Linked DNA regions of Xenopus tropicalis. The protein of the gene in region 1 interacts with the protein of each later gene in a biochemical or structural test. Links are inferred from orthologs where the notes say so. Each region holds a gene or a part of one and is shown in the gene's direction. Other genes may lie near its edges.

Region 1 (4,784 bases):
CAACAAGAGGTCCTCTGCACTCACCCATTATCAATATATATATATATATATATATATATACTGTATATATATATATAAAGAAGCATAGAGCTGCACACACAGGGTCTTTGAAAAAAATCCGACATTTCGAGCACTAACAGTGCTCTTCTTCAAGGACAAACCACACCGAGCACCGTTAGTGCCAGTCCTACACTCACTTTTATCTGATTCATTAAGAATTCTACTGCTTCAATATACTTTAACAAAGGGCTTGAGTTTTACCTACAACTTAAGCTGGCCATGCACACACCGATATTCAGTGCGTGTATTACGGCTCGAAGAGGCGACCGATATCGCAAAAGGCTGTGGATATCAGTCAAGTTGTCAATCGGCCAGGTTAAAAGATTTTGATCAGGCTCCACTGAAGGCGCCCAAGCAAAATCTACAGGGCTGAATCGCCAGGTGGAGGTAGAATTTCTATTGTTTCTACCTCCATATCTGATGATTCAGCCCTGAACGTCAGTGGAGGGTGGGAATGATCTTTGGTTACATGAAAGATCGGAATTGCTACGTGTATGGCCACCTTTACTTGCTTTCAAGGTTAAAACCCCCCAAAAATTGTTGCCCTTTTATTAACCCATTGGGATCACCTGACTAGACTGTAACTAGAAAGGGTGGGAGCTACAAGATGGAGCTGGCCACTGTTCCTGTATTAACTATAGCAAAAAAAAAGGTTGGGCTTACCACTAAATTTTAAACCATTAGGCAGGGGTACAATGAGGCTGTGACCACAAAATTCATGCAGACAAGAGGTCCTCTGCACTCCCATTATCAATATATATAATATATATATATAGGACATTAAGACATCCTGCGAATTAGACTACCAAGATAAGCCTTCCCCTTTAAGCAAAATAGGGATTGTTTGTCCATAAATGTAATACATTCAAGCTGGCCAACTGCATCAAAGTTATCCCTGGTCTGGCCAGTCCTACACTAACTTTTATCTGATTCATTAAGAATACTACTGCTTCAATATACATTTAACAAAGGGGCTGAGTTTTACATGCAACTTGCTTGCTGTCAAGGTTAAGACATTCTGTGCATTAAACTACCAAGATATGCCCTCCCCTTTAAGCAAAGCAGGGGTTGTTTGTCCATATATTGCAATATACTTAAATTGTGGCTATCAAAATTTAGATACTGCTGGAATTTTTACACCACTATATGGTCAGACACCTTGCCACAAGTATTTTGAATTCCCCCTTACTAAATACATTAGTACAGGGCACCAACTTAACCCACATGCCCTAATGTATTGCCTATATGTATCCCTAAATGAATGTTCTTGCTAGTAAATCTGAAATAGTTTGAAATAGTTTTGTGAACAATTATTACTTTACCAGGCAAACTAACCCCTTACCCTTATTTACAGATTCAGGATTAAAATGTTAATAATTCATAGAAATACATTGATTGAGGTAAGCTACTCTGCTGTCCTACACACTATAAAGCAACAACACTCCCTCTGCTGTATTTCCTACAGAGTTATGGCTACACATCCCATAGTTCCTTGCGGCAAACAAGCCGTGCCTCTCCGGCCTTGCTTGCTTACGTCACAGCCTAGCCATTCCTTCGCCTCCCAGCGCCTCACACAAGCGTTGTTGCTGCTGCAATCGCTGCTTCTAGCTGGGAGACAACGGGAACGATCCAGTTATTGTTCGCTAAAGGAAGAGGCGGAGGCGTAGAAGGAAGTGGTCTCCGAGAGGGGATATTCCCAGCTTTTATTCATTACACGGTCACTGCCTGGGGTAAAGGCAAGGTGCTGCTCTGTTCCGCCCTCAGCGCCCAGCTGGGTTTACAAGGAGGCGAAAGGAATACGGAAAATCGTGTGCGGGGGCCCGGTTGCTATGTAAGTCGTGAGAACCTACATCTACCCCCCCCCCCCCCCCCCCCCCCCCGTTTGTGTAGTTGTAATCTGCCTCGGGTGCGCGCCTCGTAACCCAGTGATCGCCACATTGCTATAAAGCTTTACTGCTGGCAAGGAAAGGGTGCGCTAGACCGGGCATGGCCAACCTGCGGCACTCCAGCCTGTGCTGGGGGGAGTGTTCGTCACTATCCCGGGGGCTGCACACACATACACCCTGCCTGGGGGTGGGGGGCTTTGGGAGCTGCAATTCATCAATAGCTGTTTAGCATCAGGTTGGATTTCGCTGTCATCTTTAACCAACTAAATCAGCATGACACCATCCCAGGCCTAATGTACACATTTGTGCGCTAGTTGTGCAGGGATGTCTGTGGTACATCACGTTTAACGTGGTTTAATTGTGAATCATATCCTCTCAGTTGCATGGGAAGCTCATGTACGTCAATTGCCAATTTCCATGGTAGTGAAAGGAGTTGAGTTTTGGTGGAAATGTTGGTCAGATTGTTCTGGTTGCTGCAACTCTCTCTGTCACTTGGACTTGATCTGAGAGGTTATGGCAATAGAGTCATCTAATTATTATCATTTTATCTTACTCATTGGACCATCTGGCTTACAATATGTAGCAGGAGCGAGGCCTAGTTCTTCATAGGTATCTTTTGTATCTGTATCTTTTGAGTATTGTGCTCTAAATTATTCTGACTAAAGCTGGCCATACACGTGACGATCTGACGATGTTTCGTGCGACCATCGGTCGCACGAAACATCGTCAGATCCACCACACACCATTCAGGGCTGAATCGGCAGGTAAGGAGGTAGAAACAATAGGATTTCTACCTCCTTCTGCCGATTCAGCGCTGAAGGGAGATTTTGGTCAGACGCCTTCTATGGCGCCCGATCAAAATGTTCCAACTGGTCCGATCAGCGAGTCGGACGATATCAGCAGCTTCCTGCAATATCGGTCGACTCGCCGACATACCATACACGCACCAAATATCGCACGAAACGAGGTTTCGTACGATATTATCGGTGCGTGTATGGCCACCTTTAGCCAGAAACACCAACATTGCACCCTCTTTTCTTGCCAATTTGGAGAGAAGATCCTGCAAGTTGCAGTGTTGGATGGGCAGCCGTGCACCCTCTTTAATCTAAATGGCCATGCTTTTATTTGGGTCTGAATACTTTTCTCTTTATTTGAATTTTCAGTTTGACTGATTTAAATCTCAAGACAGCTGGATTAGGTGATTTTAGATTTTACACTAGATGAATTGGACACACTTGGTCTGCAGTGTGCACAAGGCCTTAGTATGAAGATTGCTGTTCTGTTGAGCATTTGCTATGCTAGATTGTGGCATTATTTTCCCTTCCACCTTTGGTGAACCCTCCTTGGGTCTTTATATTTGTTTGGCAGCTGTTGCCCCACGCACACTTCCAACCCACACAGACTGCCTGGTGTTTTTCTGAGACTGCTCAACTCCCAGTCTGTTTCTACAAATACCTTTGGTTGTTTACTTGCTTTGTATGCATATACTCTTTATTAACCGATAGCATTATAGTAGCTTTGTGTAATCTGTTCCACATTTCAAGTTTAATTGTATATGACCACATGACAGAGAACATAATATACATGTCATTGTACCATTTTTGGTAGCATAGGAGTTAATATGTAAGGTTGGACATTACGTTTTATAAGAAAGCTGGTTACTATTGATCCTGTTTTAAATATACAGATATGGCTCGAGGCTGTACTGTTTATCGTTTTGTGGTATCTTCCTTTTTGTAATCAAACACAAGGTCCCTTGTCTTGTCCCATTCATGGAGAATCTTAATTCAGTCTTATTTGGCAGCATTGCTTGTCTCTTGTCATACTGATGCCTTGGGTTTTTTTTCCCCCTTTTTAAGCAATTTCCTGTATGCATTCCACCCAGTCATGTCTTTTTTTCATTTCTTCTTTCCCACTCCCCTTGTTAAAATGAGAGCTTCCTCTCTGTTGTTGGAGCCTTCCTGGGCCAGCTGTGTATTATGGCATGGGAGCAGTTCTGTGAGCTTAGTTCATTGTTCTCTCATACAGTTAATCCTCCAAGCGTATTTGTCTGGGCTCATGTACTCATTCTGTTTGTTATTACTGTGTACATGTTGCACACTTAGAGCTCTGGCACGCGGGGAGATTAGTCGCCCGCGACAAAACTCCCTGTTCGCGGGCGACCAACCCCCCCCCCCCCGAACCTCGCGAGTCTTTTTCGCGATTTCTCGAAATAGCGCCGCCGCGTGTGCCATCCCACCGGCGACTTACATTGTCGCCGGTGGGATGGCAGGTGAAGGCAACTCGGGGAGATTAGGCGCCCACGAACAGGGAGATTTGTCGCGGGCGACTAATCTCCCTGTGTGCCAGAGCCCTAAAGGTGGCCATACACGGGCCGATTCTAGCTGCTGATATCGTCCCTTAGACTGATTCGCCCATGTAGGGGCACCAACGACAGGCCTTGCCTGACTGATATCTGGCCTGAAATTGGACAGATATTGATTGGGCAGGTTAAAAAATTTAGTCAGATCAGGGGACCGCATCGGCTCGCCAAACGACCGAATTAGCCTGAATTCGCCCGATATCACCCACCCATAGTAACTGTACTTTTTCCACATACTGTATGTGTTCTACTAAGTTGATTAAATGTCAACATTTGTACAGTCTAGTACAGTGATCCCCCAACCAGTGTCTCGTGAGCAACAGGTTTCTCACCAACCTCTTGGGTGTTGCTCTCAGTGCTCCCAAACCAGGTACTTATTTTTGAATTGCTGACTTGGTAGCAAGTTTTGATTGAATAAAAACAAGATGTACTGCCAAATAAAGCCCCCCTGGAAGCTGATAGTGTGCATAGATGTT
Region 2 (4,622 bases), on another chromosome or scaffold:
TTCATGTCTTGCTTGCACTTCTGTAACTAATTGACCAGAGACATCAATTTCTGTTACCACAAAATCAGCTGAAGAATTTTTTATTGTTCCAAAAAATCCTCTATGATCACTCACATAGCAGAGAGAACCAAAAACAGTGGGAGACAGACTCTCTGTTTCCATTTCAGAAATCTATAAACCTGAAAGTACATAATACATAAATCTGGGTGAAAGGAAAGATTAGTGCAAAACCTCCAAAAATAACAGTCATAGGTGTACACTTTACAAGAATATTGTCCTCTGCGGCCCCAAGGAGGGGATAACTTCATAGGAGAAGTCACTGTGGATGTTCACCATGTGCCTCTACTGTTGATCAGTACTGATTATATAATACATAGCCATTTCATTGGATCTGTTTTTAAGGTTATGGCTAGTGATATGTGCTTTAAGTAACGTCACTGTATATCAACTATAAATACTGTATTCGGACTACTGACACTATGAACATTGGATTTGTAATAGACTACGATTCACACTGAAGGCCTTGTACACTGGGGCCTTTTTTCCACTCAACTATTAAAAGCCAATTGGAATCAAGAGGAGGGGCTTGTACAGGTTAAATACCTGCAGTGCAGTGATCCCCAACCAGTTGCTTGTGAAAAACATGTTGCTCCCAGTGGCCTCAAAGTAGATGCCCATTTTTACATTTCTGGCTTGGAGGCAAATTCTGGAAGCACAGAGACACAGTTTTATTCCAAGCAGAGCATCCAGCAGGCTAGTAGTCCACATGGGGCTACCAAATTGCCAATAATAGCCCTTATTTGACATCCCCAAAGAACTTTTATCATGCTTTGTGTGGCTCACAAGTAAAAAAGGTTGGGGATCCCTGCTATATAGTATTGTTCACTTCACACTTGATATAGGGCTATGCCCAAAACATGTGGTGTGTACCTTTACTGCTTGAATATTTTTTTTTCTGTTTTGGATCCTTACCCAATAATTCTATATTTAATTCCAATCCCTAATACATGCCAGAAACTAAGGATTTCCTGTAAAACTAAAAGATGAATTGAGGATAACTGACGAACACACAAATTGTGCCTGGCAGCTCCCTATAATAAACACAAACATTCTCTCTCAAAAAGTCATGTCTGTCCACTGGCCAATTGCTCACAAAAGTCTTATATTATTTTTTGGCTGGCCAAGGCCAGATGTATGTTTTCCTTCCATAAATATGTTCCTTCTTGTGCTCACTGTGTGTATGTTTGGCCAGACTACCACAGACAGTGCTTCTTGCGCCCATTTCGCTCTGTCTCTTGCCACCTACACAGCTCCAAACGCTGACAAATAAGCACTATAAGACCTCTTTCTAGCTATCCGTACGCTAACAACATATCTAGACATGAACATTTAACATGCCTCAGCTCAGCAACCGCTGTACCGCAACAGGTAACCTAACACATTAGCAGCACTCAGCCGCTCACCCACATGGCGCAGTCACTTCCTCCTTCCGTTGTCGGACGCCACAACTCTAACTCCACCCACTATCCTTCCTGCCCTACTTCGTGTAATTTCTCACTGAGCTGTGTTACGGCTTATTCCCTCTCATTAGTAATAAGATACGTACTAGGCTGCACTAGTTTATACTGAACTGCCTGGCTGTTATGTGTGTAACTTCATTCATTCTTTGCCTACAGGTCTGATTAATTTATGCGGTTATGGGTGCCAGAATAAACAACGTGGCTCCATCAGTGTAGTGCCATGGAGGATGTACTGATCATAGTTTCTAGCAGATAGAAAAAGCAACTACTTCGCTGTACTTAGAACAGGAGAGCGGCGTTTTGCGTTACTGCGCACGCGTGTTATAGCCGCAACTCAGAAGTCTCTGGCATGCCTGGTAACCGGAGTTTTTGGTGTTGTGCAAGTGAAAGAGGATGCGGAAATGTTCTAGAAGAAGTAGGAAATTAGAAGTTACAGGGCAGTAATAGGACTCATTGCAACTAGCCTGTGTGGCGTTTGCCTCCAGCACTACAGCGCCTAGGTGCTCAGTACTTCTGTACTCGCTGGGTACCTGTGAGTGCCTGAGTGGCAGGGCTACAGTATCTATCATAGCTGGTGAGTATACTCCCTACAGGCGCAGAATAATACCTGCTTAAATGGTACTGAATGCATCAGGCAGTTGAGCTTGAGAGAGCTGTGTCTTTTGTCCTCAGCTACAAGGATAGGTCTATGCCTTATGTAAATTTAACCCTATCTTGGCCTACAGCAATGCTTCAGCTACTCATCGAGTAGAATACAGTCACGGTAAAAACCTCTTAGCTGGGCCCTTGCAATGTGTGAAAAGGTGTGGACTTATGGAACAACACCTCATGTAGTACAGTCAGGATTTAAAGGAGAAGGGGGGAATCTGGTACGCTTAGGCTGATGCCACACGTGGCGTTTTTACGCTGCGTATTTTCTGCGTTTCCATGGTGCTAATAGTGCGAAATAGTAAAAAACGCCGCGTATTTCCGCTAGGTCTGGCAGCTGCCTTTGAGTATACATAGGAATAGCTTGCTGTGCAAATACTGGCGTATTTCGGCAAACGCTTGAAAATTCCGTGGTTTAGGCGTTTTCTAGCGTATTTACGCATTGTGTGGTTTGCTTCGAGTCTTTTCAAGTTATTTCTATGGATCATGACATTGTGCGTTTTTCAGCCACCGAGAGAATTAGAAAATACGCAGCGTAAAAACGCCATGTGTGGCATCAGCCTTAGGTTGCAGAAACCTTTTAAAACCATGCTTGCCACTTTCTGCCTAGTCAAGTTGCGGGTGGGATCCCACATTAAAGGACAAGAAAGTTGATTCCTTTTCAGTTTTTACTTTGTTGATGTATGACACATTTTTTATCAGTTCAGCAGCTTTAAGTTGAACAACTTAGGTTTAAATGAGATAAGGTGGAATGGAAGCAGTAGGGTATGCAGCAAAATTCCATACTCAGCACATACAGTGGAGGAAATAATTATTTGACCCCTCACTGATTTTGTTAGTTTGTCCAATGACAAAGAAATGAAAAGTCTCAGAACAGTATCATTTCAATGGTAGGTTTATTTTAACAGTGGCAGATAGCACATCAAAAGGAAAATCGAAAAAATAACTTTAAATAAAAGATAGCAACTGATTTGCATTTCATTGAGTGAAATAAGTTTTTGAACCCTCTAACAAAAAAAGACTTAATACTTAGTGGAAAAACCCTTGTTTGCAAGCACAGAGGTCAAACGTTTCTTGTAATTGATGACCAAGTTTGCGCACATTTTAGGAGGAATGTTGGTCCACTCCTCTTTGCAGATCATCTCTAAATCCCTAAGGTTTCGAGGCTGTCTCTGTGCAACTCTGAGCTTGAGCTCCCTCCATAGGTTTTCTATTGGATTAAGGTCCGGAGACTGACTAGGCCACTCCATGACCTTAATGTGCTTCTTCTTGAGCCACTCCTTTGTTGCCTTTACTGTATGTTTTGGGTCATTGTCGTGCTGGAACACCCATCCACGACCCATTTTCAGTTTCCTGGCAGAGGGAAGGAGGTTGTCGTTCAGGATTTCACGATACATGGCTCCGTCCATTTTCCCGTTAATGCGAATAAGTTGTCCTGTGCCCTTAGCAGAAAAACACCCCCAAAGCAAAATGTTTCCACCCCCATGCTTGACGGTGGGGACGGTGTTTTGGGGGTCATAGGCAGCATTTTTCTTCCTCCAAACACAGCGAGTTGAGTTAATGCCAAAGAGATCTATTTTGGTCTCATCAGACCACAGCACCTTCTCCCAGTCACTCACAGAATCATTCAGGTGTTCATTGGCAAACTTCAGACGGGCCTGCACATGTGCCTTCTTGAGCAGGGGGACCTTGCGAGCCATGCAGGATTTTAATCCATTGCGGTGTAATGTGTTTCCAATGGTTTTCTTGGTGACTGTGGTCCCTGCTAATTTGAGGTCATTAACTAACTCCTCCCGTGTAGTTCTAGGATGCTTTTTCACCTTTCTCAGAATCATTGACACCCCACGAGGTGAGATCTTGCGTGGAGCCCCAGAGCGAGGTCGATTGATGGTCATTTTGTGCTCCTTCCATTTTCGAACAATTGCACCAACAGTTGTCACCTTCTCTCCCAGCTTCTTGCTAATGGTTTTGTAGCCCATTCCAGCCTTGTGCAGGTCTACAATTTTGTCTCTGACATCCTTGGACAGCTCTTTGGTCTTTCCCATGTTGGAGAGTTTGGAGTCTGCTTGATTGATTCTGTGGACAGGTGTCTTTTATACAGGTGACTAGTTAAGACAGGTGTCCTTAATGAGGTTGACTAATTGAGTAGAAGTGTCTAACCACTCTGTGGGAGCCAGAACTCTTAATGGTTGGTAGGGGTTCAAAAACTTATTTCACTCAATGAAATGCAAATCAGTTGCTATCTTTTATTCAAAGTTATTTTTGCGATTTTCCTTTTGATGTGCTATCTGCCACTGTTAAAATAAACCTACCATTGAAATGATACTGTTCTGAGACTTTTCATTTCTTTGTCATTGGACAAACTTACAAAATCAGTGAGGGGTCAAATAATTATTTCCTCCACTGTAAAAAGAATGCTGCTAAGCAATGACGTGACATAAAAACCCAGTGGCT
Region 3 (4,841 bases), on another chromosome or scaffold:
GTGCAAACCTTGCTTATTCTACTACAAATGGAGAGTAAGATTAGAGAATATGATATAATGCGCATTGAACCTTCTCTCTCATATTTATATATTTGGACTGGAGCTGCCATATTGTTTCCCTTAAACAGCAGTGTATAAGGGTATAGATTATTATGTGCTAAGGGAAGCAATATGGTACCTCCTCATATGTATACGACAAATCTTAATATAAAATATTGTGCTCTGGGCACACAATAAGCTGTACCCCCATACTGCACTGTCTAAGGGAAACAATATGGCACCTCCCTCCCATATGTATAAATACAAATATACAGAGAAGGAATGTTCTGGGCACACAATAAGCTGTACCCCCATACTGCACTGTCTAAGGGAAACAATATGGCACCTCCCTCCCATATGTATAAATACAAATATACAGAGAAGGAATGTTCTGGGCACACAATAAGCTGTACCCTCATACTGTACTGTCTAAGGGAAACAATATGGCACCTCCCTCCCATATGTATAAATACAAATATACAGAGAAGGAATGTTCTGGGCACACAATAAGCTGTACGCTCATACTGTACTGTCTAAGGGAAACAATATGGCACCTCCCTCCCATATGTATAAATACAAATATACAGGGAAGGAATGTTCTGGGCACACAATAAGCTGTACCCTCATACTGTACTGTCTAAGGGAAACAATATGGCACCTCCCTCCCATATGAATAAATACAAATATACAGAGAAGGAATGTTCTGGGCACACAATAAGCTCTACCCTCATACTGTACTGTCTAAGGGAAACAATATGGCACCTCCCTCCCATATGTATAAATACAAATATACAGAGAAGGAATGTTCTGGGCACACAATAAGCTGTACCCTCATACTGTACTGTCTAAGGGAAACAATATGGCACCTCCCTCCCATATGTATAAATACAAATATACAGAGAAGGAATGTTCTGGGCACACAATAAGCTGTACGCTCATACTGTACTGTCTAAGGGAAACAATATGGCACCTCCCTCCCATATGTATAAATACAAATATACAGAGAAGGAATGTTCTGGGCACACAATAAGCTGTACCCCCATACTGTACTGTCTAAGGGAAACATTATGGCACCTCCCTCCCATATGTATAAATACAAATATACAGAGAAGGAATGTTCTGGGCACACAATAAGCTGTACCCTCATACTGTACTGTACTAAAGGAAACAATATGGCAGCTCCAATGAAGTTACTTTTTAATCAAGAATTCTGCCTCACGATATGCTCAGTGAGTTTTTTTCAAAAAAAACATGATATCCACTCCCTTAGCTAAAGGCTTGGGCAGTGCACCTGAGCCTCTCTTTCTCTGCAGTGAGTTGTTGGACATATTTAGAATCACACAATAAGCTGTACCATCATACTGTAATGTGTAAAATACAAACATATTTATACAATATAAGAAGACAAGGCCTAGAGATTAAAAAAACATTTTGCTCCCAGAAGCTAGCTATAGGTACATACCTGGGCCATATATTTGCCCATTTAGTTTATTTTTTTTATATCTATCTCATTTTTGACACATTTACACTTTTCCTATTCATACATTTCCCTTATGAAGCATGTCAGTCTCGTTTATGACGCAAGACGCAGCACGTAATGACGTATTGACGCCGCCTCTTCCCGTCTCTATGGTGCGTGTGAGTCAGCCCTTTCTCCCCGCCCACTCCCTGCCTGACAGCCGGCTGAAGCTCCCCGCCCTGTGTGGCGTCACTGGGAGGCCGGCTCAGGAGCACTGCGAAGGCAAGATGGCGGCCACCACGGTCTCGGGTGAGCTGGGTGACGGGGCGCTGCGGGACAGGGAAGCGGGGGGAGGGCTTGCTGAGGGCAGGTTGCACCGCCGGCCAGGAACTGGCTTCTCTGGGGTTCCTGCTGTACTGTGGGGCGGTGCCTTGGCCCGGGTAGCGCTGCTGCGGGGCCTTCGCACCTCTCCGCACGGCTCTGCCCTGTCAGGAGCCCCGGGTTCCTGCTTGTGCCGGTAGCGCGGAATCAGCTGCCCCCGGAGGCCTGGGAGGGAAGCACTAGGTGTTACAGCTCCCAATCCGCCAGTGACAAGACTCGGCCCTGCCTGCACTGCTGTTCCCCCGGGCTGGGCGGCTGCAGAGGGCTGCCTGGGCTCTCCCTTACTAATGCCGGGCAATCAGACATGTTTGACAGCTGCAGGGCCACACGTTTAAAGGGGAACACCGCCCACAAACAGGATTTATTGCAGAAGAATTACTCAGCAACGTCCCAATAGTCACTGACTTCCACTGGGTTTTGCCACATAGGCAAATGAAAATTCTATGTGCTCTGCTGGTACTGACTCCTGAAGCAATGTAGCAGAAACCAGGGGATTAATAGTGCAGTCAGGACTAGAGAAAAAGGCACTACATTCAGTTTCTAATTGTTTCCCCATCAGTAGTGTGGCCTAAAGGTGGCCTTACACTGTAAGAAACGCTTGCTTGGCGAGGGCGCCCATAGAGTGGATCTCCTCCCGATATGCCCACCCTAGGGCCAAATTATCAAATTAAAACAGTGGGCATAGGCACCGTTAGTGCAGTGACTGCATCAATGAGGTCCCCGGTCCGACAGAAGAATCAAACCTGCCCGATCAAGATCTGGTGCCCATACACAGGCAGATAAACAGGGAGATTGTTGGCGCCCATACACAGGCAGATAAACAGGGAGATTGTTGGTGCCCATACACAGGCAGATAAACAGGGAGATTGTTGGTGCCCATACACAGGCAGATAAAAAGGGAGATTGTTAGCGCCCATACACAGGCAGATAAACAGGGAGATTGTTAGCGCCCATACACGGGCAGATAAACAGGGAGATTGTCGGTGCCCATACACAGGCAGATAAACAGGGAGATTGTTGGCGCCCATACACAGGCAGATAAACAGGTAGATTGTTGGCGCCCATACACAGGCAGATAAACAGGGAGATTGTTGGCGCCCATACACAGGCAGATAAACAGGGAGATTGTTGGCGCCCATACACAGGCAGATAAACAGGGAGATTGTTAGCGCCCATACACAGGCAGCTAAACAGGGAGATTGTTAGCGCCCATACACAGGCAGATAAACAGGGAGATTGTTGGTGCCCATACACAGGCAGATAAACAGGGAGATTGTTGGTGCCCATACACAGTCAGATAAACAGGGAGATTGTTGGTGCCCATACACAGTCAGATAAACAGGGAGATTGTTGGTGCCCATACACAGGCAGATAAACAGGGAGATTGTTGGTGCCCATACACAGTCAGATAAACAGGGAGATTGTTGGTGCCCATACACAGGCAGATAAACAGGGAGATTGTTGGTGCCCATACACAGGCAGATAAACAGGGAGATTGTTGGTGCCCATACACAGGCACATTGGATCTAAAGGACTGATATATTGGCAGCTGAAATCAGCCAGCGTATGGCCATCTTTACTCAGTTTAGGGGAAACAGTAGTTTTTTTTTTTTTTTTTTTTTTTTTTTTTTTAAGCCCCCGGCAGCACTAGACTGCCCTCACCAGGAGCGAGCTCCCCAAGTACCTGCCACAACTCGCTCATTATGCGCATGCTTGTGACATAGGAGGGTGAATCGCATACGTGGGAAACAACATGGCTGCCCGCACTGGGAGCTGCCTCCATCAAGCTAATGCACTGTATCCTATGGCCACAAACTGGCACCTTCCCTAGTTCCCTGGGGCACTATAGGAAGCACAATACATAACTTCATATTAATATTCTGTCATGTTAGACATCCAGTCTGTGCCCGTGCAATGTCCTGCACCCCCAGGGCATTATTTTCAGGTGCCCTGGAATCCCTTGAATACTTCCTTCTAGGTAGATTGAAGTCTGGGCAGTACAGTTAGCTGGTAGATAAGTGACCATTCTGTCTGGTCTCAACATGAATCTCAGCCTCAGTTTGGACAGGTTAAACAGAACTGTTTGGGTCCTGTATAAGGGTGAAGACACACTAAGCTACTAGTAGCAGCTACTTTCTCATGGCTATTAAACTCCAGAAAATCCCCTGCCATAGACAATACTGAGAATTGCCTCTGCTAAAACACACATAGAGACAATTATCAGTAAATGATCAGCATTGTCTATTTTAGTAGCCGTGACAAGTAGCTGCTACTAGTAGCTCTGTGTGTCTTCACTCTAAATATTACTAGCAACTAACTTGATTTGCCATTTCAACAAGCCTAGATGTCTCCTTATGGATAAAAACTAATTCCTAATATGTATGCTTTCATTGCTATATGCCATGGTAATTTAATTTAACAGGGAATTTACCTCTTCAACAGGTTTCACCCTCCCCCTTTCCGAATAGGAAGTGTTGTAACTTTCACAGCTTTTCCCTTGAGGTTTAGCAGTTTTTTTTTTTTTAATATATAGTTTGTGATACTAAAAGACCTCCAGGCTATCCATACATGCTCGGGATTGTAATGTAGATACTGCAAGTTGCAGGTTGTTGGTTCCTTTTTCTTTAATAATGCAATCCTTTCTCTTTTGCTTTCGTTTATTTAAAGACAAATGCAGTTTCTCGGCTAGGGTAATGCCAAAGGGGGGGGGGGGAGTGCATGGTCGAGCGTTTCTGTATCGCACCGACCGTTCCTGAATTAAGGTAACAAAGGGGTCTTGCTGTGCTAGCACCTGTCTTTTTGGCAGCCGATGGCCAAGGGCAGGGCAGTCTTTTTTGAAAAAGCAGGTTGTGCCACTGACAGAATTAATTGTGTCGTGGTAGGACAGGACAATGAAAACTGTGCCCATTAGTATTTGTGGGCAGGGCAAGTGCCATCTTAAAAGAGCAGGTTGTGCCACTGA

What was found.
Region 2: of the proteins of peli1 (region 1) and irak4, one has a biochemical effect on the other in vitro, tested with the Homo sapiens proteins (4 studies listed by BioGRID and IntAct). The link is inferred for Xenopus tropicalis from reciprocal best matches to the Homo sapiens genes PELI1 and IRAK4.
Region 3: the proteins of peli1 (region 1) and ube2v1 form a complex in vitro, tested with the Homo sapiens proteins (3 studies listed by BioGRID). The link is inferred for Xenopus tropicalis from reciprocal best matches to the Homo sapiens genes PELI1 and UBE2V1.

The regions. Positions count from the first base shown.
Region 1 is NC_030681.2:32,546,920-32,551,703, forward strand, and holds the start of peli1 (E3 ubiquitin-protein ligase pellino homolog 1), read left to right. Parts: upstream 1-1,614; 5' UTR 1,615-1,891; intron 1,892-4,784. UniProt on the Homo sapiens protein: E3 ubiquitin ligase catalyzing the covalent attachment of ubiquitin moieties onto substrate proteins. Involved in the TLR and IL-1 signaling pathways via interaction with the complex containing IRAK kinases and TRAF6.
Region 2 is NC_030679.2:64,416,628-64,421,249, reverse strand, and holds the start of irak4 (interleukin-1 receptor-associated kinase 4), read left to right. Parts: upstream 1-1,468; 5' UTR 1,469-1,546; exon of another isoform or gene 1,547-1,557; intron 1,558-1,996; exon of another isoform or gene 1,997-2,094; intron 2,095-4,622. Other genes in the region: pus7l (pseudouridylate synthase 7 homolog-like protein), read right to left, coding at 1-162.
Region 3 is NC_030686.2:36,460,575-36,465,415, reverse strand, and holds the start of ube2v1 (ubiquitin-conjugating enzyme E2 variant 1), read left to right. Parts: upstream 1-1,687; 5' UTR 1,688-1,785; coding exon 1,786-1,807; intron 1,808-4,841. UniProt on the Homo sapiens protein: Has no ubiquitin ligase activity on its own. The UBE2V1-UBE2N heterodimer catalyzes the synthesis of non-canonical poly-ubiquitin chains that are linked through Lys-63.